Linked DNA regions of Ovis aries. Each later gene encodes a partner of the first gene's protein in a complex. Links are inferred from orthologs where the notes say so. Each region holds a gene or a part of one and is shown in the gene's direction. Other genes may lie near its edges. The genes, in order: SMARCA5 and MYBBP1A.

What was found.
Region 2: SMARCA5 (region 1) and MYBBP1A share a complex: the UniProt entries of both Homo sapiens proteins name them as parts of the B-WICH complex. The link is inferred for Ovis aries from reciprocal best matches to the Homo sapiens genes SMARCA5 and MYBBP1A.

What each region holds. Positions count from the first base shown.
Region 1 is NC_056070.1:14,429,911-14,432,833, reverse strand, and holds part of SMARCA5 (SWI/SNF-related matrix-associated actin-dependent regulator of chromatin subfamily A member 5), read left to right. Parts: intron 1-425; exon of another isoform or gene 426-584; coding exon 585-703; exon of another isoform or gene 704-1,111; coding exon 1,112-1,324; exon of another isoform or gene 1,325-2,833; coding exon 2,834-2,923. UniProt on the Homo sapiens protein: ATPase that possesses intrinsic ATP-dependent nucleosome-remodeling activity.
Region 2 is NC_056064.1:24,912,391-24,916,979, reverse strand, and holds the start of MYBBP1A (myb-binding protein 1A), read left to right. Parts: upstream 1-1,573; 5' UTR 1,574-1,586; coding exon 1,587-1,793; intron 1,794-1,970; coding exon 1,971-2,069; intron 2,070-2,778; coding exon 2,779-2,862; intron 2,863-2,951; coding exon 2,952-3,026; intron 3,027-3,126; coding exon 3,127-3,234; intron 3,235-3,552; exon of another isoform or gene 3,553-3,629; coding exon of another isoform or gene 3,630-3,638; intron 3,639-4,176; coding exon 4,177-4,352; intron 4,353-4,504; coding exon 4,505-4,589. UniProt on the Homo sapiens protein: May activate or repress transcription via interactions with sequence specific DNA-binding proteins. Repression may be mediated at least in part by histone deacetylase activity (HDAC activity).

The sequences.
Region 1 (2,923 bases):
CACACCTCCTGGGCCGGAAGCATAGAGTCTTACCCTCTCACCAGGAAAGTCCGTGAACGATGTTTTGATAAACTAAAATTTGCCACAACTTAGTATCTGTTTTGTTTTTTAAAAATTCAGTTGGAAAAGCTCCCCTTCTTTAAAATGGCATCATTAATTTTTCTTTTTTTACCCTTGTTAACTAACTGTAACCAAGAAAACAAGAATAGGTCACTGAATAATTGTGCTTTCTTTTTACTTCATTTCACTTGATAACTTTTACAAATACTATATAATTCTGTGTTTCTTGAAGTCTGTTGGGTTGACAAGTGGATATGTGTAGTTGTGCTCTGGTGATTGCTGAAAATTTCAAAAGAGCAGAGAATTAGGTGTTGGGAGATGCTTAAATCATGCCGTTCAGCTTACTTTTTTTTTTTTTTTTACAGTTAAGGAAACATAATTGTGTGACTTACTAGTATTAGATGTGGGAAGAAGGGAAACATTTCTTAATCCTTAGCAAATGAAATAGAGCATTTACAGAAACAAGTTACTTACATTTCTTCCCTTTCTCTCCCTCTCCCGTTTGCCCAATCTTACTCCCACAGCCGTGTTCTGGGAAAGATGCAATGAGCTGCAGGACATAGAAAAGATTATGGCTCAGATCGAGAGAGGAGAGGCAAGGATTCAGAGGAGAATCAGCATCAAAAAAGCACTTGACACGAAGGTACTTTGAATATTAATAAGTATTGTAATTATTAAAATAACTCCTGTAAGTATAAGAGTTAAAGTAAGGTTTTAAAAGGAAAAGAAATGAGTTAAAATTAAAAATTTCTTCAGAGAACAACACTGAAACTTCATGGGCATTTTCGACAGAATTGACCTCAGTATTTCAGTTGGTCTATGTGAGTCAGAGTCTCTGTGATTCAGCTCTGCTACATAGTACTAGAAAGTCTGAGTCTGTATTTATTTTTATAATAATAAAGACCAATTGTTTCAGAACAAAGGGGATACAATGGAAGTGCGTTGGATAAAAAATGGATATGAAATACAACATTTATAGCCAGCTTTACTAAGTTTGAAATATAGGTTCTATAGGATTTGTATTGTATAATGTGAAATCCGGTTTTCATAGATTGGACGGTACAAAGCACCTTTTCATCAGCTGAGAATATCTTACGGTACTAACAAAGGGAAAAACTACACTGAAGAGGAAGACCGCTTCCTGATCTGTATGCTTCACAAGCTTGGATTCGACAAGGAAAATGTGTATGATGAGCTGCGGCAGTGTATTCGCAACTCTCCTCAGTTCAGATTTGACTGGTTTCTAAAGTCCAGAACCGCAATGGTGAGTACTGGGGCCTTTTTGTGGACTGAAGCAAACAATTCAGACGAAGTAGATAATGTAGTATTGTTTAAGGTACCTTTTAAATTTTTATTAGGAGAAAATTTGTGTATCTTTGAAGTAAATTTTTGTTAGATTGCTGTTTGTATCAAAGGTTAAAGTAGTTCCTTAAGAAACAGTTCACCTCCACAGTTATAAACCTAATGTCATGAGTCACTTACAAAGTTTATTTTTTCCATCATTTGATAGCACTTCTGTTAATATCACTATATACAATAGGATTAGTTTTTTGTGTGAATTTTAATCAAGCTTTAAGTAGAAGAAAAAGTCGCATCAGTTTTAACTTGTGAATAAGATGATCACAATTTAAAATTTGACTTTTGCTTTTGTAAATATACACATTTTTATAAAGAAAGGACTTCTACTCATGCATCTGCCCATCAGAATACTGAATTTTCAGTTAATTAAAAAGAGCTTAGTGTGGTAAAATACTGTATTGTTTTAATGCTAGGTTCTGATCAGCAAGTTCCATTTTTATGACGTAAAATTAGAATTCAGAAAAATTTAGCTTTGATGAATTGTTCTTCCTGTATGTATTTTGCCACCTTTGAATTTTTAGCTTTATCTTGTGTTCTTCAGGATGATATTAATGCCAAAAAAAGTTCTGTAGTCTTAATTTTGAGATATACTGGGGTAGCAAAGTTTAAACAATATTATAATAAACTTTCTCTCAATATATTTAAAATATATTGTTGCTCTTCAAGATGGGGGATAGTTTACAGTCTTGTAAGTGTTTGACCACTGAAGGTATTTTTTCCTATTAAATGTCATTGGAGGCTGGTGTTTTATGAAACTCTAGGTTGGAAAATGTTGCACTATAAATGCATTATAAATATACAATGAGAGGAGACAGATTCAGGTGCTATAAGCTCTGTATTACATCTTTTAAAGCGGGAACAGTCACTTCGTAGTTAGGAAGGGAAGCAAGACGCAGTGCCACCTTGATTTACTGGTGCAGTACCAGGGCCTAAAACTGCTACTTCCTAGCGTGGTTCGTGTTAAGGCTCACATACAAAATGAGAATATGTGTGTTGCCCCTTCCCCTTGTGCTGGAACAGTTGAGGCGTGCTCTTTGTCTGTAAGCCAGGCAGATTCACACCATAGCACATCTGTAAGACGTTCTGGTGTATGTCGCTCAGTAAGTTCAGAGCTCGGATGTAGCGTACTACCTTCTCTGTATGTAGTGTTGCAGATATTTCCTGGCTGTGTCCTATATGGTAGTATGGCCTTAAATAATGAAGTGAAAGATGCACACATATCTTTTTTTAATCCCCCTGGCATGGATTGTGTATGAAAATTAGTAGGTTTTTGCTTTAAAAAACTTTAATATATTTGAGGGGGTGTAAGTGATGATATGCTATTAAAACGTACCTTTGGTTTTGAAATTGTATTCATGAAACCTTATAGATGGAGAATACAGATTTATCATGTAAAGTTGTGTTTATAACTCAGGAACTCCAGAGGAGGTGTAACACCTTAATTACCTTGATTGAAAGAGAAAATATGGAACTAGAAGAAAAGGAGAAGGCAGAGAAGAAGAAA
Region 2 (4,589 bases), on another chromosome or scaffold:
TCCAGGCCACACTCCACTGATCTCCCTCGGCCAGGCTGGAAACAAAATAAAGATCAAGTCTCCTGGATGCCATGTGCTACTCTTGCTTCTTGGTTAATTTCACATCAGCCTTTGAGGCGTCTGGGCTCCGGCCACAGGGAACACAGGAGACTGCCACCCAGGGATGCAGAGCCAGGCTAGTGTCTTTCTGCTCCTCCCTGCTCTACTCCCCTGCCTCCCAGGGCAGCACACATACAAGGTAAACCAGTTCTCACTTTCTGAAACTGATAGAGCAAGGAAGGGGTTTGAGATGGTGAGGAGGAGGTGTCCCAAGGGGGAACAAAGGGGGCTGGAGCTGGATGTGCGGTTTCAAGGCCGGGTTGGCCCTCACCTCCCCACCTCCAAGAGGGCTGGGTTCTCTCTGAACTATAATCCTCCACAGGTTAGTTCTCAAACCAAGAAACAGGTGGCCATTAGCACTCCTGCCCCACACTGTAAAATGAATGTATCTCTGACTTACTAGAACTCAGTGCCGCCACCTCCCTCTCGCTGCTCACCCCCCAACTCCCGGACAAAGAATTCTTCCCCCAGCCCAAACGGTACCACAGTCTACCCGCTTATGTTAGCCCCAAGCCTAGCATCGGAGAAGGCAATGGCAACCCACTCCAGTACTCTTGCCTGGAAAATCCCATGGATGGAGGAGCCTGGTAGGCTGCAGTGCATGGGGTGGCTAAGGGTCGGACACCACTGAGCGACTTCACTTTCACTTTTCACTTTCACTCATTGGAGAAGGAAATGGCAACCCACTCCACTGTTCTTGCCTGGAGAATCCCAGGGACGAGGGAGCCTGGTGGGCTGCCGTCTATGGGGTCGCACAGAGTCGGACACGACTGAAGTGACTTAGCAGCAGCAGCAGCAAGCCTAGCATCCCTCTCGCTTCTGTCACCTCCCACCTGTTCCAGATTAGCTGGAATTTTCTCAGCACTTGGTTCAATCCAGCTGGTATTCCTGCTTCTACCTCTGCTCTCCTTCAATTCACCCTCCACACAGCAGCAGAATACTCTATTAAATGTGTAAATGGGGGGATTCCCTGGGGCTTCCCTGACTGTTCAGTCGGTAAAGCATCTGCCCGCGATGTTCAGTCCCCAGGTCGGGAAGATCCCCTGGAGAAGGAAATGGCAACCCACTCCAGTATTCTTGCCTGGATAATCCCGTGGACAGAGGAGCCTGGCGGGCTACAGTCCATGGGGTCGCTAACACTTCACTTCACTAGAGGTACCGTGGTTAGGACACGGCTCTCTCCCTGCGGAGGGCCGAGGTTCCATCCGTGACCCATCCCTGGTCTGGAAAATAAAATCCGACAAGGCGGGGGGCGTCGGGGCAGTTAAATAGGACCAAGGCTTGTGCCTGCATAAAACCCTCCGGTGATTTCCTATCACAATCGGAATGAACTCCGGACTCCTGAGCGCCCAGAGGAAGAGCCACACCTCCCCGTCCGCCCCGCCCCCGTGCCAGCCGGCTCCGCCCCCAGCCGACCCAATTCATTGCGCATGCGCCCCGACCTGACCTGGAAGAGGCTGTCTTCCGAGCCCACGTGTTCGACGAGCATGGCGGAGCCGGCGAGTGTGGAAGTCACCGAGCCTCTGGCTCCGGGAGAGGCCCAGAAGAGCGGCGCCCGGCCTGCCGACCGTCATGGCCTGCTCAAGCACAGCCGCGAGTTTTTGGACTTCTTCTGGGACATTGCGAAGCCGCAGCAGGAGACGCGGCTTGAGGCTACAGAGAAGCTGCTGGAATATCTGCGCGCAAAGCCGAAGGTATGGTGGCGGGGTCTGGGGCAGGAGCACCAGAGATCCTGGCTAGTAGCGGCGAGCTTGGGGTCACGTGGTCGCGAACCTGGACGACCCAAGTGAGCGCGCGCCGAGGAGCGGGCATGGGCGGGTGCCAAACGACCCTTCTCACTGGTCCACCTGGGGATGTGCTTGGTTCCTTAGGGATCTTCCGAGATGAAGTACGCCCTGAAGCGCCTAATCACTGGGCTCGGGGGTGGACGAGAAGCAGCCCGGCCCTGCTACAGTTTGGCCCTGGCACAGGTGAGGTGGTGGCCCCTGGAAGGGGTCCACCTGTGCTGGTCAGGTAGGGGAGTGAGTGAGCAGAGCAGATGTCCCAGCTGCAAGGGACGTGAGAACTGACAAGTAGGGGTAGCATCTCAGGCGAGCCGATGGGAGGTGTGCCCACGTGGATGCGGAGAAAATTGTGTAAGCAAGGCCTTTGTGCAGAGAAGCCCAGGAAGGCGGAGAGAGGGAGGTTGAGGCTGCTTTTGGGTACCTGGGTTGACCAGCCTCCGAGGTACATGTACTGGGGGTGGTAAGCTCTGGGGTGAGTTCTGTTACCTCTGCAGGGTTTAGGACCCTCTTCTCCCAAGGGGCACACAGCTAATTATAAGCCATATCTAAGGAGCCTGGACAAATGGAAGGCCTCTAGAGACCCAGTCCTTGAAGACCAGTCTAGGGAGAGCTCAGAGCTGGCTGTGGGGACAGCATGTTTGGGAAACACAGTCTAGTGGCCAAAGCACCCCAGCTACACGTGGGACAGGGAGAGAGGGGTCAGCTCCATTCACAGCTATGTTCCATCATCAGCACTGCTCAGAGGCAGGTAGGCAGCTTCAGAGGCATCCTTGGGGCGGGAGCAGGGGCCCAAGGCCTGCTCCCAAGGGCAGAAGTTGAAGAAGTAGGAAGAGATTAACGTCTGTTGGGATGTGGCAGGGCCACTCCCCCTGAGCCCCTCTCTTCCTCCTGGCAGCTGTTACAGTCTTTCGAAGACATCCCTTTGGGCAGCATCCTGCAGCAAATACAGGAGAGACATGACCTGCAGAAGGTTAAGAAGGTGAGAGTTAGCAGCCCCAGGGATATCAGCAGTCCCCAGGGTGGGAAATGCTTGGGTCCTTCTCACGGGTGCCTGGAATCCTTTTCTAGGGGATGATGAGACCTGCCCTCTTTGGAAACCTGTTTGGGGTGCTAGCCCTCTTTCAGTCAGGCAGGCTAGTGAAGGTAAGAGCTTTGAGGGTTCTGGGGGTATGTGGACTGGCTTGGAGTGGTGGGGGAGAGTGGCACGCCCCACTCATACCCTCTCTGCCTCTGGGACCACCAGGACTCAGAAGCACTGATGAAGTCAGTGAAGCTGCTGCAGGCCCTGGGCCAGCATTACAATCACCTTCAGGAACAGCCCCAGAAGGCCCTGGTGGACATCCTTTCTCAGGTATGGGCTCACCAGCTGTGGAGCCTTGGGTAACTAACGCCACCCGTCATAGAAGAGCACGGAGAAGACACAGGTTAATGCATGAAAATGCGGTACCGAAGCATAAATGTGGAACATGATGTTTTGTAGTAACTTCCCTTAAAAAGTAAGAAGGAAAAGGGATGTGCTTTAATAACATGGTTTAGTTTAATATCTAAAGTATTTTCATGTGCAGTCAGTATCAGAAAATCTATGGAGGTTTTTTACATTCTTTATCGTGGTAAGTCTCCAAAATCCAGTGTATTTTATACTCACCAGCATATCTCTGTTCAGATTAGCACATTTTACATGCTCAGTGTCCACATGTGACCAGTGGCTTCCATATTGGACCATGCATTTGTAGAACAGCGCCTGACATGTGCCCGGTGGGTTAAACATGTTTGCCATTGTTGTTTTGGGCAGAGCTGGGGTCCCCACTGCCCTACTTGGGAAGTGGAGGTGGGCTAGTACCTAGAATCCTTGCTATGGTGAAAAAGCCAGGGACTGGCACATCCCAGGCCAAGGCTTTCTGCATAACCCTGGCCACAGAGCTGGAAGGACCTGAATTCAAGTCCCAGATCTTCACTGGGGACTCCTTATAAAAAAAATGCTAGTCCTGCAAAACCCACAAGAGGAATAATTAAAAGGGTGGTCCTGGGCTAGTTAGCATCAGTGGGGTGCTTATTTATTTAAACCCAGTTTCCAAGGATTTGGGAATTTGCGCTTTTTAAGAAACCCTCTCTGGTGATTCTGTTGCCTGACAAGGTGGATTGTGACTGTCCCGTCTCAGGCTGTTGGTGTGCCGGGGCCTTGGGGGAGCCTGGGAGGTAGAATGGGGCCCAGAAAGCTCAGCTCACAGCAGGAGAGACAAAGGATGCTGTGAGGGCGCCCTCCGCACCCTCAACCTGTCTCCCCCACCGCCAGGTCCCGGAGACCGCGCTGCAGGAGATCCTGCCCAAGGTCCTCAAGCCTGACATGAATTCAGTTCTCGGCTCCCCTGAGCACCTGGAGCTCTTCCTCTTGGCCCAGCAGAAGGTGCCCAAGAAGCTGGAGAAGCTGATGGGACCGGTCAACCTGTTCTTGGACGAGAACATCCCCAGGTGTGAGGGAGGTGGGCAGGTGGGCCCTCCATCCACAGGTTTGCACCATGACCCGGGGTTGGGGGTCCATGTGGCCCCAGGCGCCTGGCCCTTGTTTGCTGGGGACTGCCCCCTGAGTCTTCTTCACCCCCACCCACCCCCGACCTCTGCAGGCTGGTGACTGTGCTGAAGACGGTGGCCAACTCTGTGAAGAAGGAACGCAAGCTGCCCACCGTGGCTCTGGACCTGCTCCGCCTG